4 linked regions of the Lonchura striata genome follow. The protein of the gene in region 3 purifies or fractionates together with the protein of the main gene of each other region. This does not show direct contact. Links are inferred from orthologs where the notes say so. Each region holds a gene or a part of one and is shown on either strand. Other genes may lie near its edges. The genes, in order: V-type proton ATPase subunit S1, ATP6V1A, ATP6AP2 and VMA22.

Region 1 (6,903 bases), on a different chromosome or scaffold from region 3:
GTATTAAATTTATTTTTCTTATCTTAAACACATAAGGCAGAAACCCCCTCAAACCCTGGATTCTTACAGAACAATAGAATATACATAGCTTACCCAGATGTAGCTGCTTTGCCTGCAAACATTTGTCAAAAGAACAACTTTACATTTTGTAGCTCATCTAGATGGTCATAGTGGAACTGCCAGCATATAATTATTGTATCGGATGTTGAAATTATTGTAAGTATTATAATTTAAATATCATAATTTGAAATATGCATTTCAGATATTTGAAATATGTTTATTTTTGAGGAGTTTGTATTATTTGAAGAAGTAAATTCTCCCCATAATTAAGAAAGTTTATATTAGATCATAGTTACAGAGAAAACATGATAGGGTGTAAATTCAAAAATCCAACAGAAGATTGCAAGGTTCTTCTTGAAACCTCTATTTTAAGATGTGGCTTTAACCCAGCCTTTTGCTCTAACAGATGAAACTACCTAGGAAAAAGCAGTAGCATTTACAAAGAGAAATAAGTACATATTTGACAGCAAACAGCTGAAAACTAAATTGACTCCCTTAACAGAACATGAACTGTAGAACTGGTACCTGGCTGATAAGTGCATTTTAACATTGTTGGAATCTTTCCACTGATTTTACCATTAAATTCAGAATTTTAGTTTAATTAAGTTCTGGATTGTAGTTCAGTACTGAACTAATTGTAGAATTGCAGCACATGAGCATTCCAGCTGATGACTTACATTCTTTCTGACATCTGAGCCTTAAGATAGGAATGGTTGCTAAGTCTGAATTTCCCCCAGAGTGATAAAAGGCGTTTTGAAGTAAATTATGGGTTGAATAGCAATGAGTTGCATAGATAGGAATCTGCCTCTTTATAATTTTTTCCTTCCTTCTTAAACATATTTTTGAAAAGGTAATTTACAAGTCCAGAAGGATTATTTAAATAAAAAGTAAGGAAATAGTTCAAACAAATGTGAAAAGCCAATAGTCCATTGATTTCAGTGCAATGCAGTGTTGGAGGTTTCTGGAACCCTAGAGTCATTTAGGTTGTGAGGACCTTTAAGATCAAGTCCAACTATTAACCTGATACTGCCAAGTCCACCATTAAACTCTGTCTCTAATTTCTACATCTACATAGCTTTTAAATACCTCCAAGTGTGGTGACTCCATGACTCCTCTGGCAGCTTCTTCCACAGCTTCACTACCCTTTCAGTGGAGAATTTTTTCCTATTATCCAACATAAATCTCTTCTGGTGCAACTTGAGGCCATCTTCTCTTGTCTCTCTAGATTCTTCACTAGCTTCACTGCCCTTCTCTGGACATGGTCCAGCACCTCAATCTCTTTCTTCACCCTTAAACAACAGATCTCTCATCCAGATCATTGGTAAAGACATGAATCAGTACTGGCCCCAGTACTGAGCCCTGGGGAGCACCACTGGTGACTGTGTGCCAGATCGATGTGAACTCCATTCACCACCACCATGAGTTCTTTCCTAGCAGTGCCCTTTAGTCACATTGTGGACACTTTTGTGTAAATAGTTAAAAAATTGCTCTGGAAGTATAGTGAGTTGAATGCTTGACTAATATTTGGAACATGCTTTTCCAAAGCATGCAAAATAAGCATCTTCTAACTAATGTCATCCTTCAAATCAGTGTCCAAAAAACCACCATTTTTAGGAGTGAAGAAAAAAGGAGAAAATATATGCAGATATATTTTGGAGCTAAATTTACTTAGTGAAGCAAATTGAAATCCCACTCAATAGGCTCTTCTTACTCCTTTTTTTTTTTTTTTTTTCAAAGCTTTTATAACTTCAGTTGTTCCCAAACTGTGGTTTGTGGCAAAATATTAAAAAGGAAGAGTCAGTTTGTTTTCAGTTAAAAGTTTGTTCATAAGTGATACGGTAATCTGAGAGAAAACAATCTGGTTATGTTTCAAAAAGTTTTAAGACTGTTTCTGTAAGGCAGAATACAGGGTATTCCCACCAACTGTGCATCTCACTTGTGTGTGTTGGAAGCTCACAGCAGTGAAGAGAAGGCAAAGCTCCGGATGTGATGTACTCCAGGAGGAGTCTGTGCTTTGTGCTGCTACGGCCATGGGGAGGAACGGGAAGTGAGGGTAGAGACCATGTGGTTGTGTTCCACTTGTTGCCCAGAAATGTTTTGTACAAACCAAACATCTCCTACAGGAAATATTCCATACATTGCAACTGCACAGAGTGGAAGGTTTGACCACAGTCCCACCAACAGCGCTTTGCACAATAGTGGTTAATAAGGTATAAAATGTATCTCAATTTTGTATCTTAATGGAGGATGAGAATTTGACACAAAATTTTAAGGGACATACTGACAGGCTTGACTTTCTTGTTCTCCACAAAAAGGATGCCTTTTGGTAAGTCTTAGGTCATCAGTTATGCTGAGTATTGATGCAGGAAATTAAACTTGTGATTGTAGTTATATTGTTAATGCAATATATTTTGCAGCAGCTGCTTTTGTCACCAGCAATCCCAAAGAAACTACATTCAATAAACCATGGATTTGTGAACCCAGCTGTCTCTTCTGAATGTGATCAGACTTGCAAAATATTTGTGCATCTGATGTAGGGCCTAGGGTGACACTTTTGTAACAGTCTCCGAATTGGTTAGTGTGTCGAATATTGTCCTTCTGCAAAATTAGGTTTTTTTGGAAGTTCTGCAATTCCTTTATTCTGTCTAGGTGCTTCTGTTTCTACTTCTGTCTTTGAGGTTTGCTGTCTTACCTGTACACACTCAAACAGACAAACACTGGCATGTTAAAGGGAACAGATAGGATTTCTAATACATCTCCGAGAAGAGGAAAAAGTAAAGAGTTAAATTCTTTGTTATGTAAAGGTAACGTGGAGAAGAAAAGGAACATGAAAATGTTTTATTGCTACCCTTAAAATTACTCTTTTTCTGAGAAATCAGATTTCAGGGTGATTTGATGAACAAATTGCCTTATATTAGGCAACCGCACTATAACTACATACTGTGATTCAAGGCAAATGGATTTAACTAATCTGGCTGTGCTCAGATTTAGACATGTCTTCTGACCTCTGTGTCGTCTTGTACAGTTTTCATTGTGCTTCCTTATTTTTCCCTTAACACAACTTGTTTTAACATGGCTCAAAACTTCTTTTGTGTACGATCTCTAACTTCCTGTTCTGATGAGGCATTTGTGCCCAGAGCCAAACATGTGCTGAGGCTGCTGCTGCCTTATGTAGTCACAAGGTGTAGAAACTGCTCAGTGTTTGGCAGGCACAAAAAAGCGTGCCAGAGCAATTTGCTTCCGGGCATGAAAGAATTCTCTAAGACTATTTTGTTCTTGCATGAGACTTGTGAAATACTGAAGTTGTGTCACGTTCTGAAGTGATTATAATTTGCCCTTGACGTGACATATTTTTGATTTCTGGGACAGCATTGCTCCATGCAAAAGATAGCTTAACAATTGTGTTTCAGTGGCTCTGAACGTGCCATTTTCTCTCTCTCTTCCTTCTTGCTGAAATCTGCAAGTTTGTTGCAGATTTCAAACCTGTCAACACCCAAATGTGTGACGCCAGATCTCAAACATGTGAAAAAAATAAGCTGAGGGACATAATAATATATAGCAGGGGACGAAGATAGAAGTTCTGCAGAATATAGTTTGTGCAGTACAGAAAAGTTTCCTGTAAACTCCATTTTGAAGTTATATAACTGTTATCAGCCCGCATAGGACAGGAGTTTGGACTTCATGGCTCTCCCTTGCACTTGAAGGTTAGAGGAAACTGACAATGTTTCCACAGCAGAGTGCTTTACGAGCTGTTTAAATCACAAACGTGCAAGCATTAAAAACAAGAGTCGCTCCCAAGCCCCGGGGAAGGAAGTCGATGCAGTGACAATTGCCGTGCTGCCGGGAGCAGCGTCAGGCGCGGCGCAGCGCGGCGCTCCCGCCCGCGCGGTCCCTCCGCCCGGCCATGGCTCCGGCCCTGCCGCTCCGCGCCCTCGCCCTGCTGCTCCCAGCCGCCCTGGCCCTGCACCATGTGCCGATGCTGCTTTGGTCGACTCAGAGGTAAGAAATCGAATCAGAGTGGATCCCTGCTTATGCTCCTGCTCTGGGCGCGCCTGCACAGAATATATTGTGCCATCGAATATGGTAAATCAGCCCTGGGCAATACAATTATTTGCGCCATGGCCATCAAACAAGCCAACATATTCTTTTACCCATTTTTATTTATAACTTCAGTGTTCTAAGCTCAGCAGAAAGAAGTAAATAAACTCTGTAAACTAAACTGAAGTAGAAGTGCTTTATTAACCCTAAAGCATCTTTGAATTCCACTGTTAGAGATGTTGTGAGTTAAAGCCACAACATAAGGCGGTGACACAAAAAGGAGCTGACCAAAAAAGGCAGTTTTTTTAAGCCTTGGATTTCCTAACTTCTGAACCCTGACTTTTCACTTTAATGTTCTTTTAAATACAGGTTCTTAAGTAGATTGCTGTATGTATGTGCATCAGTTGTTAGCAACAACTGCAGTCTTGACAGATCCAGAGAAATTCAGGGGTTTGCATATATGTATGAAATAGGACTTTGAAGCTTTGAAAGTATCAGGTACAGACCTCTTTCTTTCCAACCAGGAATTTTATTCATTATCACTTTAAGGATGTTGTACCATTACTTGGGATTTCCAGAAATATGGCAGGTTGGGCAATGCAGTAGTTTCAGGGGGATATTCAATATGTAAAGTTGTCAGAAAAATAGGCCACTTATTAACCAGCTTTGCTATATGTTTACTCATCTTTTATGGATTTTCAAAACCTGAAACTCTGCATATGGAAATCTCCATGTTTTGAAAAAGTTTGATTTTATAGCTTTTCCTTTATTTTCTCTCCCTAAAAGAAAAAAAAAAAAAGTTTCAACATCAAGGCAATTTTATATTCAAAATACTTAGTGATTCACCACTATGTGAGACAGGCACTCATATGAGTGTATTAGCCTTGTGTAATACCGCTGCAAAGCATTTAAAGCATTTAAAAGCAAAGTAAATGTTGGAAAGCACTGTTCTTATGTTAAAATTGATTCTAAGCATCTAAGAAAAGACCAGTGCTGCCTTTGTCCTACTTCCTGGTTTATATAAAAAACATACTTGCTTTATATATAAACAAGATCTTATCACTTAATTCCATGTGGTCATAAAAGCAAACTTTCCATCAAGATGCAATTAGCAGCTTTTTCTACTGCAGATTTTTCTGGTTTATACAAATCCAGAGCAAGAAAATCAGGATACTAGACTGAGTAAACAGTTTCATGTCTCCAAGAATAGAACCTTTTCTGGAAGAAGTGTTCCTCCAACCATGACATTTGCATTTTGAAAGGAGAAGTTCTTGTGGGGCCAAAATTAGTTCTGGGGAAGGTCTGTGAAGCAAGTGAAAAGTTTTTCGTTATTTTATAAAACAAAGTAGCACTTACAACAACTTCCTCTTGCTAACCCCTAACTCTGTGCTTTACATTTGGTACTTCACAGTGATGCAAGGTTTGCAGCGTGTCATCCACAGGCCTAATTTGGAAATTATTATTAATAGTCTTAGGAAAGTTAACTACAGAATTGCAGTAATTATGGATATCTATGGATATCTGTTCACTCTGTAGGAACATGTCCCACCAGTATAAACGTTTAGTGATTCATTAATCAACAGAAGTTGTGATTCACTGATCTATCCCTTCACCCTTTCCCAGGTTATCTGTTAGGATTTGAAATTGAATAATTGAAGGATACTACATTTTGTTCTAATTTAGAACTAGCCAGTGTTTGCCAAGCCATATCTCAGGACAGGTGTATTAGAGAATGTAACACTTTAAAGTCTTTTATGCATTTTTACTATGCTATATTCATGCTATTAAAGATAATGTTAAATGCCAGATAGAGTGAAACCTGCAGCTGACAAACACATGCAGTGCACAATGGGAAGTGTGATATCAGTTGTCACAGAGACATTAGGAAATCAAATACCTCTTTCCTCTAGAAAGTAAAATGCAGATCCCTACTTGGAGAAAAGTGTTTTTTTAAAAAAACAGCATTCTTTCTCAATTCAACTAGGGAATAACTCAGTATGTCACACTGTCCAGTTTTTCACAAAAGAATATATCACTGGATGTTCTTCAAATAACTTTGGTGTGGAAAATTTGACCTTTATTTTACATCAGTCTTTAAACTAATTTTCCTTGGTTGGGTTTTTGAAGCAGGGAAAGCTGAGAGGCTCTTCTTGCATATGATACACAGAACAAATTTGATTTAGCCATTTTGAACTAATATTCTGAAGAATTTATTTCTCTCCACACATAAAGAGATGTTTGAGCAAATAAATTAATTAAAATTAGCTTTTGTGATTTCCCCCTCATGTGTTTGTTTTAGGAATGATTTTTGCCTACAGTCTTTTAAAATATATTACTTCCTTTTTTTATGCTATGCTTATATAGGGAAAATAATCCTTTTCTGGCAAACCCAGGTTATAAGTGACTTTGAGAAGGTGTTAATGCCAATTAGTACATTTGCACTGTTTCCTAAACTACAGGGACTTTACTGATAAATCTACTGAAAAAAAGGTGTAACATAGAAAGGAAATTAATTTTTTTAGCTATAATTTTATTGGATGCCTATGAAGACACTGTGTGCCAGCATGAATGCTATTTTACTTCTCCTGAGTATGGGGAAAACATGATTTCTTAGATGGAAATCACAAGGTCACTATTAGGGAAGACTTAATAAGAATAGACAAGAATAAGAACTGACAAGAATAACTTGTAGGAAAGAGGTCTGAAGCCAGCTACAAAGCAAATATATAAGATCATGAGTTAGACTGCTAGAAGTCTTGTCTTCCCATCAGCCCTCCTGGTGGCTCCAGATACAGGAAATATTGA
Region 2 (7,937 bases), about 81 Mb from region 3:
AAATGGTTACAACTCCTCTACTACCTTCTTACCCTCCCAATCCTTCCTACTTTGTGGAATGTCTTAATCTGGTTATGGAATTAAACTCAAAGTGGTCAGAGTTATAAATCAGGTTAAAGTACCTATAATAAACTGAACTGATTTTTTTATAAACTCATTTAGAAGCTGTTAAGCCATTTGTAAGCTGGCATATAGGCAAGGTCTAAATTTACCGTCCATGAAAATAAATGCAGACTTTAGCTCACACTTGGACATTTCTAGGTTCAGAAAAAGCCTAAAAATAAAGTGATTTTCAAGCTCAATTACCTTTTTTGTCCTGACTCCAGTGCATATGACCATTCAGCAGTTTTCTCATAAACTTGGAACTTCCTCCCATATATGTTAAGCTTAGCACTGTGCCGAGCAAATGGAAACAATTCAGCAGCTCTGCACAAACTCTGTCATTCTAACTCAGGAGAGAAAAAACCCTCCCTGTTCTCCTCAGAAACATGATCATCTTCAGGACCTTGAAAGGTTTACTCCTTGAACCCAGGCAAAACAAGCAGAGGTATCAGAGCTTACCTTAACAACTCCCCACACTTTCAGAAACAACATAGTTATTTTTCTGTTCTATTCAGTACTCCCCAGCTGTGATGTCTCTCCTGCAAGGCAGCCAGAGCAGCACAAGCCTGCAAAGTCTCAGGGTTAGGAGGCAGCAAGTACCTGTTGTGTAGAATACAGCCTGTAGGACTCTTCCACAGCAAGTCATAAGGACCCTTAGAAACTACAAAACCTGAGACTTAGCTGCAAACACGACAAAGTTGAGAGGCAATCTCCTAGGAGAGTCCTACCCAATTTAGTGCACACTTCTTTCTAAGGCTGGTTTAACACACAGCGCTCTACTTAGTCCCTGCTTCAATCAGTTCTCCACCCCATGGCTCAAGATGTGCTGCTGCATGACAATCTCCCAGGTGTTTCATATCAAAACTGGAGATGTTAATGTGACAAAACAGCACATGCACAGGAGCCCAGGCACTGGGCCCTGCTTGTAACATGCCCTACCGGCTCCATGTATGTGACAATCCTGGTCACACCGCAGGTACATGCACGCAATGGAGCATGCAGGTCCTGCAATAGCCTTGTGTAATGTGATTTTTAGGTAAGGCCATCAGGGAAAGGCTGGATACCTTACTTTCATAGGTTTCATCTGAACTAAAACAAATTAGAAATGCACCCTTACTTTTAAGACAGCAAATGTCATGAACAGCAATCGGCAAATGCTCAAGAATCAGTGCAAGACTTTGAGTTTTCTCTCCTGAAAACCAGTAGCATAACAACTGGTAATGAAAACACAAAACCACTGAGCAACAAGTGAATCAACACCATGAATACAACAAAGTGCAGGGAGGATTATTTACATCTGCTATATAAAAACAGCCAGATTACTACAGACAGTGGAACCCGAGTCTCTTCCACTGGTATTTTTCCTCATGCAAACACAGTTCTAAAATAGATTTTCAAATTCAAGAACTAACAACAATAACATATAATAAATTAAAAAATAAATTAATCTCTACAGAATCACAAGATTCACTAACAGAACAGTGAATTACCTCAGTTTTTCAAGTCACATTTAAGAAAAAAAGGGAAACATAATGAGACTCTATTAAAATTATTCAGAAGGTGAGGATAGAGTGAACATAAAGCCAAGTCTCACAAAACCAGGTGAAAGCTAATAGCAGTTCCCAGTTGAGAAGATGGTGTTTAACTCATCAAATAAGAGAAAATCCACAAAATTGTAAGCAGCTGAGAAATCACAAAAATCTTCTGCTATTTCTGAAACCAGAGGGCCAGGGTAGAAGAGGTCACCTAACCTGAAATACCCTGATGACACAGACCCTACAACCTGCTATGCACTATTAACACACATCTATGTGCTATTTTGAATTCAGAGAGCTAAGAAAGAAGGCTGCAAGACACATACATTGACTACAGGGTCTTTCAGATCTGAAATTTCATGCCAATGAATCAGATAGTTTCTTTTTTTAATTCTTTGCCAAAGTAGACTCTTCATAATGACAGCTGATAAAACATCAGCTGCTCTAAGTGCTTCCAAAATCACCTCTGCATTTGGTGGTGTGGGTAACAATGCAGTGCATATATTCCCAGAAAAAACAGTCACAGGGCATCAGTTTGTTCAGAGGGACTTGTCCACAATTTTGGATTCAGTACTGAAGACAGACCAGATCCCTTCAAGCACATCAGTTTCTATATGCTGGGAGCTGGAGCTTTAGATCTATTTTTGGACCCATCCTTTGACAGTACTTGTACTTTAGGGATCTTCACCGATCCTTGTAACTTAAAAAACAATTTAGATCTTTTCCAAAGTACCCCTGTGTAATTTATACATTCCTTTTGAACTATTCTCTACTTCTTTGATTCTCATTGTATTTAAATGGGGATATTTTTCAATCTGAGCTCTGTCGGCATATTTGCCTCCATCTGAATTTTTAGAGAACACCTGGATTCAATATGAGGATCTGCACAGGAATATGAATTTATTCTGCACCAGAACTTTCTGTGTGGTGCTAACAGTGTTTTGGCAAGACAGGAATATGCTGTTCTTCAAAGAGATGAAAGAGTACCATAAGCAGAAATACCAAGTACAGAACCCAAAGCAATAAGCCCTAAAGTTGAACCAGAAACAAAGCTGTCTGTAAGTAAAAGTAAAGTGACAGAAATAAAGTTGGGTGCTCTGGAAGCAGAAGAGTGGTATGCAGGTTTTTTCTCCATAGCCTTTTATTTAAAAAAAAAAAAAAAAAAGTTACAAGAAGTAAAAAAGTCCATGAAATGAGAACTCCTGATCAGTGCAAGCAAAACCAGGCTCAGTTCCTCAGGGAGCACTGAGCACGACAGACAGCTCCAGCCATGCCCTGCTAGGAGATCCCCACAGCACCAGCCTGGCACGCCTGGGCCGCTTTCCCACTCACACATCCAGGTCCCAGTAACCCCATCCCATCACTGACACACGAGCAAAGCAAGGCTAAGCTGTTAGCAAACAGCAGAACGGTCAACAAAGGATAAAAGGAAACCCAGTTCTGTCGGGAGCGCTGCTGAACAACGATCGCATCAACTGCCACCTCATCCTGGCTGATCCGTGCTGCTGCTCTTCCCGCAAACTCCGGCGTCCTCATTACAAGGGGACTAAGAGTGGGGGTGTCCCTTTTTATGTAGGGTGGTGCAGGTGGATAAAGGTTTGTCCAATATCCCAAACACACCTATCTTATGTCAGCTGAGAGTTTGTTTATTTGCAGTCATCCCTGAACCTCTTTCTACAGACACCTGCCAGCCCCTCAGGATGCCTGAAGCTGCTTACACGCTGTAAAAACCAGCCAAGAGTCTGTTATCAAGCAGACTTGTATGACCTCACCCCTACTGCTAATAAGCTAAACCCCTTACCATTTCTTAGTAAAAGCTTAAGTGATTCAGCTTCCATTCACCCTGCCTTAAGCTGCCAAACTGGAATAATAATACCCATCATTGCATAACACCAGTTCCAAGGGGACGGTTTAATGCTCTTTTGAGAATCAGCTGAGGACAGCTTCCTTTGTGCCTGTGAAGAAACTGAGGCACAGAACTGGAACAAGCACGTTTTGTGGTGCACAAATGATGCTGAAATTAATAAACATTAGGTGGCTTAGCCAACATTGAAAAACCTGTCCCAAAGTGACCTGGACAAGGTCAGGCAGGTCATCTGACACCAAAGCACAACTGTGAGTGTAAAGGCCTCCGGTCTCCTGTACAGAAACGGCACCTCACTGCCCCCACTGAGAAGGAAATCAGTATTTTCAGCCACCCAGATTTGAAATCTCTAGTTTTCAGGAGACAGAAAGAAGCGATGCCAGACCCAAAGCAGCGGGTGTGCTACAGGAACATGACACAGGACACAGCTCGTTTGTCATCCATCTACGCTCTACAACCTCCACGCAGCAATTCAAGACTTAAAAAACCAACAAAAGTGCTAAGAGGATGTTACACACAATAGCGCTGCAAAACCACACACACCCGAGGCTGTCAGCTTTTTCGCACACAGTGAGCGGCGCTTCTTTGCTACCGCCAGACAAGGAGCAGCCAGGGAGGACAGCCCGGCCAGCATCCCCGCCCGCTCTGCAGATCCCAGACCCCGCAGGGCGGGATCCCCCCGAGCACGAGGAGCCGCCGCGTCCCGCCCGCTCCAGCGCGGGCTCAGCGCGGAGAATCCTCGCTCCGGCGGCGGCACCATCCTGACGGGCGGCTCCTGCTCAGCCCAAAGGGCGCCAGCGGCGACACCGCCGCCTTTTCTCCCCGGAGGGACGCCGGGCCACGGGCCCTGTCCCAGAGGGCGGGAGGGACGCAGCAACACCCCCCCGAGCTCCGAGGCGGCTGCACCGCTCGGCCCTCTCCGCCCGCCGCGCCGCCCGGGCCCGCCCCGCTCCCAGCTCCCCTCCCGGGCGGGCCCGGCCCGGGCCGAGCCCCGCACTCACCCCTTCATGGTGCGTCCGCGGCCTGCCCGGCGTCCGCGCTGGCTGCGTCCAGGGCCCGGCGGTGCGGGTGTGGCTCCGGCCTCCCCGTGCTCAGCGCGGGCAGCTCAGTCTCCTCCCGATCCCAATCCCGCTCCCGCTCCACATGGGCCTCCTCCCGCCCCGCCCCGCCCCGTGACCCCTCACCTCACGCCGCGCGCGCGTCCCCGCCCCGCCCGCCATGACCGCCCCGCCCCTCCCGCGCGCCCCCGCCGCGCACGCGCCGCGCCCGGCGGGGCGGGGAGAGGATGGGGAGGCCCCGCTCGTCTCGGGGACGGGGCGTGCTCGCTGTCACGTGACACGGAACCACCAATCGGCGCGCCCCACCGCGCCCGGCGCGCTCCTGCGCGGCAGCGGCCCCGGCAGGGCGGGCGAAGCTCCGCCCGGAGTCGGGCAGGGCTCGCGCCCGGCGCTTCCGGTGTGCGGCGCAGCGCATGCGCGCGGGGCCCGGCGTCAGCTGATCCAGCGCCTCCTTTGCCGCCGGCGGAGGGACTCGGGCGGATTCGGGCGCGCCGGGCCGGCCCAGGTGAGACGCCCGACCCCTCTCCCCCTGCCTCGCACCGCTGCCTCCGCCGCTCCCGAGCTGCGCCCGGGGCTGCCCTTCTCTGCGGTAAAGGAGCGGGGGGTCGGCTGTCGCCGCTCTCCGCCCCGCTCGCACCCTGCCCGGGAAGGACGCGGTCTCCCTGCGGAGCCGCTCGCAGGGGGAGCGCGGCCCCGGCGCTGCGGAGCGGCGGGAGCCGGGAGGGGGGCGGCCGGGCCGCAGGGAGCCGTGTCCCGGCGGCACGGCCCGCAGGGAGCCGGCCGTGCGCTTCCCGGCCCCGCTTCGCAGGGAGCGCAGAGCTGCAGAGCGAGGCAGCCCCTCAAGGAAAAACCGTCCGAGCGCTCGATCGAAGACACCCAGTGAGATGCTTTAGGGTTATGCCAGAATCCCTTACCGAAAAGAGACAGGGCGATAGCGGCTGGGTTCCAGCGCCAGGTCATCCCACCATCTTGAGTGGGTGGATCTGAATCTTTCGGTGCCTTGACCGCAGCGCAGCAGAGAGAGAGCAGCGCGGTTATGGAAGAGGAATTCCGCTGCGGGCTTCTCCCTGCAGCCATCCGTGGCAGAAGAACCCCCCTGTTGTTGCTTTGCAGTTGAATATCTTGGTGGCACATCAGATGTGCTTCCTATTCCTGTAGCCAGTGACAAAATTTTGCCTCAGATGAGGTGTTTCAGACATCACCCTTGGCATTCACTTAAAGGCAAGAGAAAAATCTTACACAGCTGGATTCTGGATGATATTGTTCATGTGACAGGTAGCTGTCACATTGGAGTATGTGACACTTGTGTCAGGATCCATCCATTCCGTGCAGCTGCCCAAAGTAATTTACTTTCTTAGGAGAAAGTGAAGTCTTCCTTCCTGAAATTTTACTGTCTTTTCTCATAGAATTTGCTCTTCTGCTGGGCATAAAAGCAATTTGGTGATCATTTTATTCATTGTAATGCAATACTTCAGCAAAGTACACTGGCTATTTGATCTAGCACGGTATTTTAAATGCTAATTCTGCTTGCTGAAGTGGAGAGGGGGTGGAAAAATAGGAAAACCTGCTGATAGACTGCTAGAAGTGATTTATTAGGAAGAACATGCGAAATACAAGCTGGCATTTGCAAGTGGAAGTTTGAGTAACTGAGGCAGATCTTCACTATGTTGTAAGTTGTGCTGTATTTATACTGACTTCTGCACTGTGCAGATCTGCAGCAGCTGAATGTTTGGCTTCTCTGTGCTTTCAAGGCCTTTTCAATGACCAGCAAATATAAACATGTAACAATATCTACGTTTTATTATTTTCTATGTAAGAATATGTGAAGTGAGATCAGAATCTACAGGTCTTTGAATTACCAAAAGTACTGCAGATTATTTTTGCTGTGCCTGTCAGTCTGTAATGCAAAATCCTCTGGAAAAGCTTTATTCTTTCATGTGGGGAAAAAATTAGTCTTAATTTTATGATCAGGTGGCAAAGTCTGACATTGAGAAGTACTAAATCACCATGGACATCAGCTTGAGAGAACAGGGAAGGACAAATTAAGGCAACAGTGGAAAATGGCTGCTGGCATCAGCTGACTGTTCAAAGGGGGGTTGCAGTCTTGTGTTGCAATAGTAACACAAGATCTCTGTTTCCCGTAAATACTGCCTTGTGGTTTTCCAAATCAAGAATTATTTTCTACAGGTAGTGCTAATAGGGTTGAGCCATGAGTGGTTAGTGTAGCTTCATTTTTATAGAGCATTAGCTTAAATTTAGCTTTTGTTTTGGTCTAAGTGTGTATTAACAGTTTTATGCCTCATTTGCCCTCATTTATGAAGGCTGTGGGCCTTAAGTGTCCTTCTGTTATCTAAATTTTTTTCCCAGGATGACTTCATGCATTTATCTCCCAGACTTGCATGGTGCTGGTGTTACACATTGTCATCCAAAGCTCCTATAGACCAGCAGGTTACCAGATGATTCCCCTGAAGATCCTTTTAGAGGCACTGTGCATTCCCCCTTGTGATTTCATGCCATAATGGTTGTCTTTGGGTTCTCAAGCCCTGAAAGTTCCTACTGATGGGTTTCCCTCTTGCTTTGAAATTGCATGTTTATGAGCTATGGCTGCATTCCTAATTACTCTTTTAGAAAGAGTAAAAGGATTGCAAGATAATCTCGTTGAGCTCTTTGGTTACTTTAATGTTGACCATAAAATGTTGAATGCTACGTCTGAGCAAGTAGTAATACCTCTGTTTTTTTCTCTTTTTAAGAAAACCCTACAAAATGCAAACCATGCAGCAACCCAATGCTACATTGCCTGAAATATATTCTTTTCTCCATGCTTGTTTTGTAGGTTAAAAAATAGGGGATTTCAGACTTGGAAATACTGAGGCATTGTTGAACAATGGTATCCGTATGATTTTTTTTTTTTAGGCTGGAATTTGGCCAATGAAAACAGACCATGCAGTCAACTGGAATATCATGCTCATTCATTTTTACTGAACATCTTAAAACATGTGACTTCTTTAGCCTTCCAGCTGGGCAGAGAGAAACAGGGTCCTACTCCAGCCGAAGAAGCAGAATGAATTTAAACTTTTCAGCCTTTTTTTTTTCCTACAGAATAAGCCAATAATCACCTAAATCTCCAACATGCAAAACTGGTTTTGACTGGATCTTCTGTTTGTCATTGTTGTATCTTTTATGGTATAAAAAGCTTTTTGCTTGTCTTTGATGCTCTCTCTCCACTTTTCCCTTTGTGAGTGGACAGCTAAGCTTATACCAAATTCTTGGGTTTGGTCATCTCTCATGGCATTAAGTTCTGCACTTATAAATATTTTTTGGTTGGTTACTTTATTTCATCCAAGCATTTATTTCTTCTGTGTCTGTCAAGCTCTCAAG
Region 3 (7,531 bases):
CTAGCAACCAGCCTGGGTTTAGTAGTAACACAATGAACACAGCAGTCCAGTTTAGACCAATGGTGGGCTCTTTGACTCAGCCTTTTCCTCATATTCCCTCTTCTACCATCATTTCACCCATAACGCTGTTGGTACAGACAGGGCTGGAGGCAAAGGCAGCATCCAAGTGCCACGTGAGCAATTCCTGCTGAAGACATTTCTGCACAGCACACTCCTAAAACAGCCAGGGAATGCTGGTATTTTGCCTACAGCTGGCACGTTGATTTTGTGACTGCTACTAGCACTATATGGCTTTATAAAAATTATTTCTGACCTAATGTGCATGTTGTCTCATTTTTTCACTTGCCCTGAGCAGAAGCTCAAAATGAAATCAGTTTAAATAGAATAATTTTACTGCATGTAGATTTTTGTCACAAGTATTGCTTACAGGATTACAAAACTCACTCTCTTCAAAGCACAGCTGGGATCTAAATTAAGCCTAGAGAAAATAGCTAGAACTGTGCCAGCCTACAAAGTGATGGTATTATTCTCTTATATTGGGCTTCACTGACACACAGATATACCCAGTGGGCACTAGAAACCAGTACAGAGTTTGTGAGACTTGACTGTTTCATAATAAAATTTATTGCTTCTATTTATTATTTTTCCCAAAGAAGAAACCAAGATGAGAACAGGAAAACATAAGATGGAGAATTCAGAAACCATGTTTGCACTGTGATTTCAAGAACAGCAATTTGAGAAGCAGAGAAGGAATATAAGACTCTTCAAATACAGAACTCTGATTTCTCTTCTATTTCTAGAATTACATTATAGTATTCCTAGCACCACAAGTTCAGAAAAAGAAAATGAGAATGTGAAAGCTAAAGTCTCAAAAATACAATTCCTTCTGCAACTGTGAAAAAAATAACATTATACTCTTTTGTTGTTGTATGACTTTCAGAGTGAATGCTTTATGCAAAAGAGTGCCAAGAAATTAGTTTTAAAAATTGAAATTATTGCTAACATGCACAGATAAGAAACATAGAGATAGTAACAGTTATAAGAGAAATAACTTTCTCAAAACAGTCTTATTCACTCTGGTACCTTTTTTTCCACATCACATTTGTAAGAAATCCTTAGTTTAGATGAAGAAACTTGTTCCCTCATAGGATCCTTTTCCTGTTCTTTGGTTCCCACTACGTTTTCATCTAAGACAGAACCACACCCACCCAATGCCCTCTAGTAGTTTCAGAAACTTACTGCTTTGGGTCACTCTTCTTGCCTTATTTCTATGCACCTTTTGGGTGTATACACAATCTGAAGGGAGGATAAGGTAAGCATACCTGCAGTTCATCTGTACTTCAGACTACAAGGTGCAGGAACCATGTTTTCCTAGACAGGCAAAAATTTGTGAAATTATGCTAAAACATATGCAGTAAATGGCACACTACACTTGCAAAGCCAAGTGCCCAAGGGACAGCAAATGCCAAAAATAAGGTAACCCACAGAACTTTAATCCATGGGCTTACCTGTTGTGGCAGCATTATCAGTTCACAATACAGAATTTCAAAATCATCATGCCTTGCTCACTGCACAAACCAGCTGGGCTCACTGAAAAGCAATCATTCAATATCTTTGTTGTTCACTGATCCAGGCCTTCTCTCCCATGTGTTTTTCTAATCCTGCTCTGAAAGCAGAAAAGCCCATCAGGAAACAACTATTTTGATCATATCTTTGCCACAGTATTCAGGTAATCTCACAAACCTTTTTTTGCATTTATTTCACAAAAGCTATTATACAGTGCAGGTTTTGTGGCACACAATACAGAGTAAGAAATGAGTGGGTATTAATTTGAAGTGCTCATAACTTGCTCGGCTGCTGAGTTTTAGAGTACCCTATGCATCTGGCATGATTTTCATATTCAAAATGTAGTTTCTATCTGGCAGCAGGATGAGCAGGAGCTCCTCCTAATTTATGCAAAACAACTCAAAGACAAGGGAGGAATTGTTATTGCCACCTATGAAAAGCTGAGTTTAAATGATTAGCCAATTGTCACATACTAACATGTGGTAGTGACAAGGATATAACTTTACTTTCTTAAATACTGTTTGCTGTAAACACACTTTCATTTTACTACCTGCATTCCTGTGCCCACTCACTCATTCTTCTAGACAACTTTTTTTTTTCCCAGTGAAGAAATATTGCTCAGGCACATTTTCAAAGTGTTTCTATAGTTGGCTGGAATTTCTAAAAACACAGAAGGATACCTCTGCCCAAATAGTTGTATGGGTAGTAATCCTTGGCATGTTCTGCGCATAAATACTGTCTTACCACGTGGATGTGGCATAGGTGCTGTCTCCCAGCAAAGCAGATAAAACATTCCCTAGCACTTCTGCATTTAGTGTAAACTCATACACAATGCTTCCCAAGGAATCCAGGACAAAAAAGCCCACCAGAAAACAACTATTGTGAATCAGATAATATCAAGCATTTATTTCCATTTATTTCACAAAAGCTGTTATGTGCTTCTGGCTTTGTGATGCATGATACAGAGTAAGGAACGAGTGAGTATTAATTTGAAGTGCTCATAACACAGTTTTACTTCCAATGCACTGGGAGGCCTTAACCTCCTACATGGTAATTCACCCTCAAAGCCTGGTTTTGTCTGCCTTTACTTGCAGAGAGCTTAATCAAAATCCTGGAGCCTAAAAATGTACAAAGACCCCAAGGCATACTCAGAACTTCACAGAATCACAGAATGGGTCAGGCTGGAAGGGACCACTATGGGTCATTTGGTCCAACCTCTCTGGTCAAGAGGGGCCATCCCACAGCACATGGCCCCCAGGACTGTGTCCAGATGTGTCTGGAGTATCTCCAGTGAGGGAGACTCCATGCCTTCTCTGGACAATCAGTTCAGTGCTCAGTCACTGCACAGGAGAGAAATTCTTCCTCACGTTCAGGCGGAACTTTGTGCATCAATCTGCCTGTTGCCTCTTGTCCCACCACCCCACGGAGCAGAGCCTGGTCCATCCCCTGACCCTCCCTGCAGACACTGGCAGACAGGGATGAGGCCCCTCTCTGCCCTCTCTTCTCGAGGCTGGACAGGCCCAGCTCCCTCAGCCTTTCCTCACTGGGACGCTCCAGTCCCTCCATCATCTTTGTCACCCTCCACTGGACCCGCTCCAGCTCCGAGTCTGTCCTGTCCTGAGGAGCCCAGAGCTGGGCACAGCACTCCAGGTGATCCTCACAGGGCTGAGGAGCAGGACCTCCTCCCTTGATTGTGATGATCATGGCATATTACAGGAATACCCATATTACAGGAATATTAAACATACACTAACCACAGTGCCCCACCTGCCTGTTCTATCACACACCAGAAGTGAGATGAGCATGGCTGGGGCAGTCACTGAATTTGTGGATATTCTTTCTCTGCAAAATTTAAGGAAGAAACCACTGATGGTGGGGGCATAGACAAGGGTGTGAAAAATGCACATTTTATGATTGGCTTTTTGCAAATATTACAATGAATATTATATGTGTAATGTTAGAAAGTTATGCTGTATTAATTCTTGTAAGTAGTGTGTTAAATGTAGTTTTAAGTTACAACATAATGTTAAAATAGAAACTCTGCGATATAGTATTTGTTACAAGCTCAAGCAGGAAGATGAGATAATCAAGAAACTCTTCACAGAGATATCAGCGAAGGGGGCCCATAAAAAGTTACAGCCTCCTTATCAGAAAAGACAAATGTTCCTCCACCTTCTCTCCGTCTTTGTGGAACCAACAGGATTAAGAAGAAGTTGACAAAAACCAGAAAAGTTCTTAATTTGCAAGGAATTTATGTATCATGCATGAGATATATGCAGCAGGCTATTGCTTTTAAGGTTACTCCTTTGCTCACAAGGGATCCTTTTCGTGACTTAGTGTCCAAGAGCATCCGGACATCCGTAATTCTTTGCTTTTTATTGTCTTGTAACTGTCCTAACTCTAAATTTAATTACATTAATTGTATTACTATTTTTAGAACCATTTCATTATTATTAAACGATTAAAAATTTTAAAAGCCAAGTGACTGGCGTTTTACACAAGGGGAAGGACGAGGACAACCCCAGGAACAGGAGGAGCCCCTCACGGCCCACGGTCCCGTCACAGCCGCCCTCGCTCTCTGATTGGTGCACTCGACTGTCAGTCACAGCGTTGCCCCGCCCCTCGCTGTCAGGCTTACGGAGTGGGCGGAGCCAACCCCTACTCCTCGCTCTCCGATTGGCTGAATACGCTGACACTTGGCTCCGCCTCCTCACCGCTGCCTCTGGGTTTACAGCGCGGGGAGGAAAATGGTGCAGGACCTCTGGCAATCTGATTGGCCAAGCGAGAACGCCACTCAAACAGAGACTCCGCCCTCAGCTGGACAGCTGACTGCTCCGCTCCGGCGATTGGTCCGCTCTGCCGAGTCCCGCCCACTCATCGTGCATCCCGCTCGACGATTGGCTGTTGTGGCTGTCCGTCAGGCGGCGGGCGGGGTGCTGTCGGCGGCGCGGCGGCGGCGGCTGATGGCGGTCATGGGGCGGCGCGGCGGGGCCGGCCGGGGCCTGCGGCTGGCGGCGCTGCTGGCAGCGGCCTGGGTCGCCGGTGGGTGAGCGGGGACGGGCCGGGGAGGGCTGTCTGCAGGGGGAGATTGCGGGAAAGCGGCCGGGCCGCGGTGCTGGGGAGGGAAAGGTGAGGGGAAGGGTGAGGGGGGCTCTCTGTGGGTGCCAGGTTCAGGACCGAGGGGTGGCGCTGAGGGGGCTCTCTGTGTCTGTGGGTGCCAGGTTCGGGACCGAGGGGTGCCAGTGAGGGGCTGTCACTGTGCTGCAGCTCCCTGCCCCACCCCCATCCACCTCCAGAGACGGTGCTCGAACCCTTTTATCCGGTCCCTTTCAATACAAGGGCTGCTTTATACTAAATTATACGTTTCTATGATTTTATTGTGTAAATTCGTTATATAAAATTAATTTTGTAATTATGACACTAAATTATTACATAAGTTTTGACAGTATTTAGTGTATTTTTATAATGCATATGTATAATTATATGTAGTGTGTTACTTAATTAAATTAATTTATAAGGTGTACAAATTACATGAAAATCCAATTCTGTAAGCTGAGACAGAGGGATTCAGATCAGAGACCAGAAACACTTTTTCCCTGCCAGAGTGAGGCATTGGAATAGGTTGGCCAGGGAGGTGATGGGGTCACCATCCCTGGAGGTGTTGAAGAGGCATCTGGACCTGGCACTACTGGGTTGATAGTTGGACTCCATAGTCTTATAAGTCTCTTCCAACTCTGATGGTTCTGTGATAGACACACATGATTTTGTTATTTTATATGAATTTTCACGTTTTGCTGAGGTGTTTCTGTGGTCACTGTTACCCCCTCTGAGTCAAGCTCGTGATGGCACTTCCAGGCCCTGTAAATATTTCCTACTCAATGTTCTTTAGCCTTCCAGGTTCATAAAGGCTTTTGAGAACCTGAGGTACAGCTTTGGCAGTGTAGGAATTAGGTTTGCTATTCCATAGACAATTGGAGGGAATCTGCTGGTGTTCCCAATTACAAATTTAGTTTTAATAGTTGTAATCTTGAAACAAGTCTAGTGAGGGAAATTCAGTTGTGAAGGGTTAATGCTCTGATTTTATCCACCTGAGCAATATTGTCCTAGGTAAGCTAGTTTGCCCTAAGTAATGTGACTGTAGCAGCCTTGTGGAGAGCAGCATGTGAAATCCTATGGATTTGTAGCCATTTTGTAAATTCTTACTTAAAGAAATTGGTCTGGAAACATTCCTGCCCTTCAAAATGTGGGTTGAGCCACCATTAAAATTGGTAGCAGGCACCCAAGGAACACATAAATTTAAATAAATTCTTGAATCTACTCCATGAATATCACTCGGTTTGTCCTCTTTCCTTCCTTTTGCCCCCCTTTGCAGCCTGCATCTCAGAACTTTGTCCTTTGGTGTGTTTATCATAACATAGCTCAGATTTACTGTCAACATTTATATGCATGAGCCAGGCTTTGGAACAGCATCTTCAAGGTCACATTAGTTAATTTAATATTAGGGAAGTTTTTAGCTGTACAACACATCAGTTTACTGTTGCATTGTTTTTGTAAATAGCCTTTAGATTTGTAGATGCCCTGGAAAACTTTTATATCACTGCTTGGATTGGTAACCAATTTTCAGTGATCATATGAATAAATACTTCTCTTTCCTTTAGACAGTTATCTTAGTCATGTAATTTTGAGGTATGCAGTCAGATTCATTGTACTTGAACATACAGGCCTGCAAATAGTTATTACTCTATTGCTCGATTTTCTTGTATCAAATCAGTTTTCTGGTGGCAACCTACTCAAATTGCTGACTGGGGAGCATATGCCTGAAATTTTGTGCATGGTGCATGTTACTGCTTATATACACCAAAGAAGTTTCAAAATTTATTTAGATAAATTTTGGTGTATTGCAGCCATGCCTAAGTGACTTTAAGATAGGAAGCCAGGTTGGAACAAGCCCTTATCTTATTTCTGTGGAGTCCTTTCTGACTTTATGATGCAGTAAATTGCTGTTATCATAGAACAGTTTAGAAATATGCTTTTAGTGAACTTTGCTGTGCAAGGTAATGGGGAAGAGAGTGAAGGGGCATCCTAGAGGAGTGGAAACCCAGTGTTGTAGGTTGTGGCTCCTCACAATCAGCTCAGGTCCAGTGCTGCATCCAGGGAAGACAAACATCTCACGGTGTCATGAGGTGGAGGATGTAGAGGAGGGACACCAGAGCTGTTCTGCAGGAGCCAGGTTATCTTGGCACTACCTGGTTTAAGCCAGCACTGACAAATTCCACTGGACTTCCTGGCTTTGGGCTCAGTGACTCTGGCTGTTGCCTGCATGAGCAGAGGTGTTGTGCCAAGCAGTTGTGGAAGCAAACAGAGCTGTGTTGGTGCTTTGTGGGCTTAACAGGATTTTGGAGTCTGCCTGGCTCCATGGAGAGTTCACTTTACCAGGTCTGAACTGTGAGACTGCTTGTAAGTTGTTACACAGAACTGTGCTCTGCTGTTGTTTGAATAATTGTCCTGCTTTTGTTAATATGGATCTGTTCATTCTTCGTCATTGCTGTATGGAAACCTTATTTTGTATTCCTGAGCATTCAAATGAGCCGTTCTCATTCCTGGCTTTCCATAAACTGATAGGCATGGGAGGGAGGAAGAAGGGATGAAAGGTCAAATATGATCCTTAGGTAAAGGAAGAGCTTGCAGGAGCTCTGACAGCTTTTTATGTCTGTTTTTAGGTGTCTGTGGTGGCGAGTTCAGTGTCTTGCGATCCCCTCAGTCGGTCATTTTCCGAGATGGAAGTTGGCCGATCCCGGGCGAGCGGATCCCAGATGTTGCTGCACTGACCATGGGCTTTTCTGTTGAAGAAGTACGTTCCAGGTCTTGGTTGTGAAATGCCTCTAGAGCTGCAGACCTGCTCACTCAAGATGCAAATCTTCCTGTCATGTGCTGGAATATATAAAACATTGTCCTGTTTGTCTTG
Region 4 (7,494 bases), on a different chromosome or scaffold from region 3:
GTGGCAATGCCGTGGTTGGCATGTGACAGCGGTGACAGTGTTCCCTGTGGTGGCAATGACATGGCTGGCACGTGACAGCAGTGACAGTGCTCCCTATGGTGGCACCAACTCCTGTGGTGGCAATGCCGTGGTTGGCATGTGACAGCGGTGACAGCGGTGGCAGTGCTCCCTGTGGTGGCAATGTCATGGCTGGCATGTGACAGTGGTGGCAGTGCTCCCTGTGGTGGCAATGGCATGGCTGTATGTGACAGCGGTGACAATGTTCTCTATGGTAGTAATGCCATTGCTGGCATGTGACAGCGATGACAGTAGTGACAGTGCTCCCTGTGGTGGCACCAACTCCTATGGTGGCAATGCTGTGGCTGGCATGTGACAGCAGTGACAATGTTCCCTATGGTGGCAATGACATGACTGGCATGTGGCAGTGGTGACAAATGAGCCCATGGTGGCACTGGCACAGCTGGCACCTGACAGCAGTGACAAATGACCCTGTGGTGGCACCAGGGTGGCTTTATTGGAGGTGGGGACATGGGGGGACCCCTCTTAGTCACGTGAGGGGCTCGGTGTCACCTGCAGAGTCCTCAGTGTCACCCACAGGCAGGTGCTGCTGTCCTCTGTGTCCCTGGTGGCAGCTGTGTCACCTGTGAAGGGTCAGCACAGCCCCATGTCACCTGTGTCCCCATGGTGTCACCTGTGCTCCCGTGTGTCCCCGTGTGTCACCTGCAGATACGTCCTCGTTGTTCTCGGTGTCACGCAGTCACTGAGGTCACTGTGTCACCCTCGGTGTCCTTGCTGTCCCCAGGGGTTCCCGTGGGGCTCTGGCTGTCCCTGGCCAGGTGACGTTTCTGCCGCAGGAGTTGCCGGTACCGGGCGGCCGCAGCTTCCACGGTGGCCTGGAGCTCGGCCACCTCCACGGCCAGCGTCACCCCTGGGGACAGGGGGACATCGGGGGGACCAAGGAGGTCATGGGGGCTGTGACCTTTAGACCTCCCCAGTTTTGGGGACACCACAGATTTGGGGTGTTCCCCCAATTCTTGGGCCACTCTGGGTTTGGGGACCTTTGGTGCTTTCTGGGGATCCCCCAGTTCCCCCCAGTCCCCCCCATCCTCACCCCTCTGGAAGCTGCCCTGGGCCTGCCGCAGAGTGGGGGGCACCAGGACCCCAAACCAGCCCAGGGGGTCTGTGGGGGGCCGGCTGGGGACCCCCCCTTTCTCAGGGGCTCCCCGGCGCTGCCGCAGCCCTGGGGGAGAGACAAAGGTCAGAGGAACCCCCCACCAAAAACAACTGAGTAACCCCCACCAAACACCCACAGGACCCCTCAGAACTCCCCAGCACCCACAGGACCCCTCAGAACCGCACCCCCCCAGCACCCCAAATTCTCCCCCCAGCCCCCATGGGTGACATCCCCAGGACCTCCAATCTGTCCCCAGCACCCACTGGGGACCTGGGGACCCCAACACCCACAGGACCCCTCCCCAAGGGACCCCAGAACCCCCCCAGGGACCACCCAGCCCCCCTCTCACCGTCACCCCCCCCCTGCTGGGGGTCGGGGTCCTCGGGGTCCCCCCCTGTTCCTGGCACCTCCTCAAAGTGGGGGCGTCCCTCTGGGTCCTGCCTGGGGGTGACACAGTGGGGACAGTGTCACCACCGTGCCCTGGTGTCCCTTGGCCACCACAGGGACATCCCAAGCATCCCCAGTCACCCCCCACACTGGGGACATCAGTGTCACCCCTGTGTCACCTCCCCAAACTGGGGACACCCCAATGTCCTCATGTCCCTCCCTGTGTCTCTGTCCCCTCCCTGAATGTCCCCAATGTCCTCATATCCCTCCCTGTGTCCCTGCCACCCCCCACTGAGTGTCCCCCAATGTCCCAGTGTCCCTGTCCCCTCTGTCCCCCACCTGTGGCACACACGGACTCGGGGCACCATGGTGGCCCCATACTGCAGGGACGAGACGCGGTGACAGCCCAGGGAGTAACGGGCCTGAGCCAGGGACAGCCACCCCTGCGGGGACATCGGGGACATTGGGGACACAGCGGGGGGACATTCACCCCTGTGGGGTCATCGGGGACATTGGGGACACAGCGGGGGGACATTCACCCCTGTGGGGTCATCGGGGACGCTGGGGACACAGCGGGGGCACAGCCACCCCTGTGGGAACATCAGGGACATCGGGGTCACAGCAGGGGGACAGCCACCCCTTGAAGGGGACACAGGGACATGGCACTAGGGACAGTCACCCGGGGGGACACAGGTGCCACCCTGGCATGTCCCTTTGTGTCCCCACAGTGGGTGACATGTCCCCCACAGGATGTCCCAGGACGGGTGGTGTGTCCCCAGGCACGTCCCCACAGCAGGGAAGTGTCCCCAGCTGTGTCCCCATGGGGCTGGCACACCCCTGTGGCAGGTGGCACCTGCCCGGTGTGTCCCTGTGGCAGGTGGCACCTCCTCGCACGTGTCCCCACGAGGGGTGGCGTGTCCCCCTGTGTCCCTGCCGTGTTCCCGTGTCCCCTCACCTGCCGCAGGTGCTGCTCCAGCTGCTCCCGCCGCTGCTGCAGCAGCTCCAGCGCCTCCATCACCTCCAGCGCGGCCTCGTCCAGCGACAGCGACAGCGACCCTGCGGTTGTGGGGGGGGACACGGCTCAGGACCCCAACCAACACCCGGGGGGACACCTGCGGCTCCCCCAGACCCACCAGAACCGCTCCCCCCCGCCCGGGGACCGGCCCGGAGTCCCCGCGGTGCCACCCGCGTCCCGGGACCCCCCAGGCCCTCACAGACCCCACCAAAACTCCCCCAGGGCCCCGGAAACCCGCTCACAAAACCCTCGGGATCCCTGAGACCCCCCCCAAAACGTTCCCGGTCTCCTGGAGACCCCCAGAAAAGCCCCCGAGACCCCCACCGAACATCCCCGGGACCCCCAGAGATCCCCAAACCCCGCGGAGCCCCCAGACCTCCCTCACCGTCCATCGCCGCCCTCACCGCGGCCTCAGGCCTGGCCCCGCCTCGTCCAATCGCAGCCCGCCCCGACACTTCTCGACCAATCAGCGAGCGCAGCACGCCGGAGGGCGGGGCCTGCGTGAGGCCCGGCACAGCAGCGGGGTGAAGCCCACCCGGCCGCCATCTCGAGTGAGGGCGCGGCGTTTTCCGCCCCTTTCCGGCAGCACCGCGCGCTCCCATTGGACCAGCAGCGCTCGGCCAATGGGAAGCGGTGGTACTGGGAGGTGCCGGCGTGTGAGGAGCGGCGCGGAGCCATCGCGACCATGGTGAGGGGCGCGGGGTTGGGTCGGTGGTCCCGTGTCCCCCCATGTCCCCGCCTGTACCCCACCCTCATGGTGCCTCTGGCCTCCCTCCGTGTCTCCCATGCTCTCATTTCCATGCCCCTCACAACGAGCCCTCCCCCCTGCCCAGTGTCCCCATGTCCCCCCTCACGCGTCCCTCACTCCGTGTCCGCTGTCCCCTGATTCCCCCTGATGATGTCCCCGCTGTCCCCCGCTGTCCCCCATCCCTCGGCCCCTCGGCTCCCCCGCCGTGCCCCCCACCCTCTCATGTCCCCCTCACCGGGCCCGTCCCCGCACCCCGCCGGTGTCCCCGCCGGTGTCACCTCCGCCTGTCCCCGCGTGGCAGCTGCGGCGCCAGGCCCGGGAGCGCCGGGAGTACCTGCAGCGCCGGGCCAGGGAGCAGCAGCAGCAGCGGCAGCGGGAGCGCAGGGAGAGCCTGCGGCGGGCGCTCGACGGTACCGGGGCACGGGGAGGGGGAACAGAGGGGCTGGGAGGGGGGCAAAGGGACCGGGGAGAATTTGGGGGGCTTACAGGGGGCTGGGGGGGAGTTAAGAAGAGATCCCGGATGTGTGAAAAGGGGGCTGGGGGCGGCAGAGGAGATTTGGAGGAGGTGAGGAGAGTTTTGGGGGGATACAGAGGACTTTAAGGGGGTTGGGGGATGTTTGGGGTTGTTAAAGAGGAGCTAAGAGGGGACATGGGGGTGCTGCAGGCCCGGGGGGTTATGTGGGGCTGGGGTATTGGAATGGGGAGGGTTGGGGGTCCTGTCTGAGCCCCCCCGTTTCTCTCCCCCCTCCCCAGAGAATCGGCTGCTGCCCACGGAGCTGCGGCGCGAGGCGCTGGCCCTGCAGAAGGAGCTCGAGTTCGACTTCCAGGCACCGGGGGGTGAGAGGGACCCCGAAACTGGGGGAGAGGGACCCCCAAACTGGGGGAGAGGGACCCCCAAATCAGGATGGGAGGGTAGAGGGAGGGGACCCCCAAGTTGGAGGTGATTGGAATTTCCAAATGCAGGGGTGGGGGACAGGCAAGACCCTTGAATGGTGGTCTAGACCCCAAAGTGGGGAGAAGGGAATCTTGAGGCAGGAGGGAGGCAGCCCCAAAAAATACCTAAAAAAAGAGACTGATCTCATTTTTAGAAGTTTCCCCAAATTCCCTGTGGGTTTCTAAGTTTCCCACATAAGATTAAATTCACCGCAAAATGAGTGTGAGGTTGCACCAACACCCACAGTCTGGGCTGCACCCCAAATCTGAGCCTTCTTTTCCCAAAATGGCAATTAACCCCATGTCCCCCCAAAATCCCCCCGGAACCCCGACTCTGAACTGACCCCGATGACCCTGGGGTGGGTGTGGCTGCAGGGGGTGTGGCCTGACAAAGCCCCGCCCCCAGAGACAGGTGACAGCCAGGATGATGAGTACAGGTGGGCGGGGCTGGAGCCCCCCAAGGTGATGGTGACCACCTCCCGAGACCCCAGCGCCCGCCTGCGGCTCTTCGCCAAGGTGGGCATGGCCGGGTTTGGGTGTGGTCTGTGGTGGGTGGGGCTGGGTTTGGGTGGGGCTCTGTTGTGGGTGGAGCCAGGTTTGGGTGTGGTCTGGGGTGGGTGGGGCTCTGGGGTGGGTGGGGCCATATTTGGGTGTGGTCTGGGTGGGCGTGGTCATGTTTGGGTGTGGTCTGAGGTGGGTGGAGCTGGTTTTGGGTGTGGTCTGGGGTGGGTGGGGCCATGTTTGGGTGTGGTCTGGGGTGGGTGGGGCCATGTTTGGGTGTGGTCTCGGGTGGGTGGGGCCAGGTTTGGGTGTGGTCTCGGGTGGGTGGGGCCAGGTTTGGGGTCAGTGGGGCTTTGGGCTGAGTTTGGGTGTGGCTCTGAGGTGGGCCAGGGGATGGGTGTGTCATTGTCACCCTGTGCTAGGGTGACAGACTTGGGGACATGTGGGGGTGATCTGGGGGACATGGGGGAGGTGATGTGGGGGACACTGGGACGTGATTTGGGGGATACAGGGAGTAATGATTTGGGGGATTTGGGGGGTTATCTGGGGGACATGGGGGCAGTGATTTGGGGGACACATGGACGCTGTAATGGCACAAGCGGGGGGACGCTGGGTGAAGGGGTGACACGGGCAGGGCGTGGCTCAGTGTCCCCGTGTCCCCGTCCCCAGGAGCTGTGCCTGCTGCTGCCGGGGGCTCGCCGCATGAACCGGGGCCGTGCCGAGCTGGGCGCTCTGGTGGGCGCGTGCCGGGCCGCGGGGGTCACCGACCTGCTGGTGCTGCACGAGACCCGCGGGCGGCCCGGTCAGTGCCAGGCGGGGCTGCTGGAGGGGCTGGGGTCACCTTTTGGGGTCTCTGCTTGGAGGGGAGGGGCTGAGGGTGATGCCCTGGGAAGGCTGAGCTAGAGCAGAGCTAGACAAAATTAATTAATAAAGCAGGGATTTATTAAAAGGATCTCCGCAATGGATCCACCTTGGGCTGCACCCAAATGAACCAAAATGGTCACGAAATGGATAACCATTCACAGGGTCTTACACTTTTATTAGTTTTGGTCTATTTGTATATTTGAGCTAATTGTCCAATTTTAGCTTTAACCCATTAAGTCCCATCCTTCTTTTCCTCTCTCCAGCCCACATTGTTTATATTTTGGTACTGAGATTTGGATCATTGTCCTTGGTGCCCAGCTGGAGAAGGAATTGTTTTGTCTCCCTGCTCTGTGCAGAGAGCTCACCACCCCATAATACGCAGCCCAAACCCACACACTAAAGCAGCACAAAATGTGAAAAATAGAAAATCCAAAACCTGAGGTGTCAGGGGGGTGGGTGGGGCTAATCCCAAGGGGGTGTGGCCTGTTTTTGGGTGTGTCCTGACCAAGCCCCACACCCCCTAGACGGGCTGACCGTGTCCCACCTGCCCCACGGCCCCACTGCCCACTTCACCCTGAGCGGGGCCGTGCTGCGCCAGGAGGTTGGGGGGCTCGGGGGGGCCCCGCTGGCCGCCCCCCACCTGCTGCTGCTGCGCCTGGATTCCACCCTGGGAAAAAGGGTATGGTCGGGGGGGCGTGGGGAACGTGGGGGGGACAGGAGGGGACATGGGGGGCACACACCTGGGGGGATGGGAGGCATGGAGAATATGGGGAGGACATGGGGGACACACAGCTGGGGGATATGAGGGGATACAGAGGGGAATTTGGGGTACATGGGGGAGGAAATGGGGACACTGGGGAGGAGCACGGGAGGTCCCAGGGCTGGGGTGACCCTGTCCCCGTCCCTGTCCCCATCCCATTAGGTCGGGACCATCCTGAAGCACCTGTTCCCTGTTCCCCGTCCCGACAGCCGCCGCGTGGTGACCTTCGCCAACGAGGATGATGTCATTTTAGTGCGGTGGGTGACACGTGGGGACACGGGGACATGGACAGACCCCCCCCCCCCACCTCCGAGCCCCTCTGACCCCCCACTCCCCACAGGAACCACGTGTACCGGCGCCGGGGACGGACGGTGGAGCTGGAGGAGGTGGGACCCCGCTTCCAGCTGAGGCGTGAGTGTCCCCTGCTGTCCCCAACAGCCCTAAAAGTCCCCCTGGTGTCCCCAAATGTCCCAACAAACCCCCCTGTGTCCCCCCCCAGCCTACCTGATCCGCCTGGGCACCCTGGAGCAGGGGGACGCGGCCGACGTGGAGTGGCGCTGGCACCCATACACGGCCACGGCCCCCAAGCGCCGCCTGCTCAGCGCCACCTGAGCCCCCCAGCACCCCCCGACCACCGGGAGAGCCCCCCAGGTGGGGCCCACCTGCACACCTGAGACCACCTTGGCAGCTGGGACCCCTCTGGACTCCCCCAGGAACAGCCGGGTCTCTCACAATCACTTTTTATTTGTCATAATAAATGATTTTTTTTCTATATTGGGCTCGGTAAGGATCAGCCGGGTTCTGCTGCAGCCCCTCCTCTGTGGTGGGGAGGGGGCCCAGGGATCCGGACCCCCCCTCACACCCGGGACCACTCGGCTGGGGGGTCCCGCGGGCCCTTGGGCTTCCCAATGCGGAAGTTAAACCCTGGGGGGAGGAGCAGGAGGTCAGTAAGGGGTGGGCTGGACATTGATGCCCCCCCGAACCCCCAAACCCTTTCCAGACACCGAGACCCCCCCCAGGACACCAGGGACCTCCCCCCCATGCTCACCCAGGCAGGGGCCGCTGCCAGTGTCCGTGGGGGGGGTCACAACCTCATAGGCGCCATCCGTGGG

What was found.
Region 1: the proteins of ATP6AP2 (region 3) and V-type proton ATPase subunit S1 purify together in Homo sapiens (affinity purification with mass spectrometry; 5 studies listed by BioGRID and IntAct, counting the BioPlex papers as one, with this or other methods). This does not show direct contact. The link is inferred for Lonchura striata from reciprocal best matches to the Homo sapiens genes ATP6AP2 and ATP6AP1.
Region 2: the proteins of ATP6AP2 (region 3) and ATP6V1A purify together in Homo sapiens (co-immunoprecipitation; 3 studies listed by BioGRID and IntAct, with this or other methods). This does not show direct contact. The link is inferred for Lonchura striata from reciprocal best matches to the Homo sapiens genes ATP6AP2 and ATP6V1A.
Region 4: the proteins of ATP6AP2 (region 3) and VMA22 purify together in Homo sapiens (affinity purification with mass spectrometry; 3 studies listed by BioGRID and IntAct, counting the BioPlex papers as one, with this or other methods). This does not show direct contact. The link is inferred for Lonchura striata from reciprocal best matches to the Homo sapiens genes ATP6AP2 and VMA22.

Annotation. Positions count from the first base shown.
Region 1 is NC_134607.1:31,872,602-31,879,504, forward strand, and holds the start of V-type proton ATPase subunit S1, read left to right. Parts: upstream 1-3,901; 5' UTR 3,902-3,964; coding exon 3,965-4,059; intron 4,060-6,903. UniProt on the Homo sapiens protein: Accessory subunit of the proton-transporting vacuolar (V)-ATPase protein pump, which is required for luminal acidification of secretory vesicles.
Region 2 is NC_134604.1:28,288,747-28,296,683, forward strand, and holds the start of ATP6V1A (V-type proton ATPase catalytic subunit A), read left to right. Parts: upstream 1-4,931; 5' UTR 4,932-5,064; intron 5,065-7,937. UniProt on the Homo sapiens protein: Catalytic subunit of the V1 complex of vacuolar(H+)-ATPase (V-ATPase), a multisubunit enzyme composed of a peripheral complex (V1) that hydrolyzes ATP and a membrane integral complex (V0) that translocates protons.
Region 3 is NC_134604.1:109,580,932-109,588,462, forward strand, and holds the start of ATP6AP2 (renin receptor), read left to right. Parts: upstream 1-4,518; 5' UTR 4,519-4,529; coding exon 4,530-4,608; intron 4,609-7,286; coding exon 7,287-7,417; intron 7,418-7,531. UniProt on the Homo sapiens protein: Multifunctional protein which functions as a renin, prorenin cellular receptor and is involved in the assembly of the lysosomal proton-transporting V-type ATPase (V-ATPase) and the acidification of the endo-lysosomal system.
Region 4 is NC_134638.1:870,048-877,541, reverse strand, and holds VMA22 (vacuolar ATPase assembly protein VMA22), read right to left. Parts: upstream 3,002-7,494; 5' UTR 2,969-3,001; coding exon 2,962-2,968; coding exon of another isoform or gene 2,953-2,961; intron 2,618-2,952; coding exon 2,517-2,617; intron 2,005-2,516; coding exon 1,901-2,004; intron 1,616-1,900; coding exon 1,524-1,615; intron 1,241-1,523; coding exon 1,112-1,240; intron 929-1,111; coding exon 750-928; 3' UTR 721-749; intron 642-720; 3' UTR 496-641; downstream 1-495. Other genes in the region: U3 small nucleolar ribonucleoprotein IMP4, read left to right, coding at 3,262-3,264, 3,626-3,734, 4,078-4,161, 4,664-4,773, 5,428-5,560, 6,147-6,301, 6,545-6,639, 6,723-6,793 and 1 more. UniProt on the Homo sapiens protein: Accessory component of the proton-transporting vacuolar (V)-ATPase protein pump involved in intracellular iron homeostasis.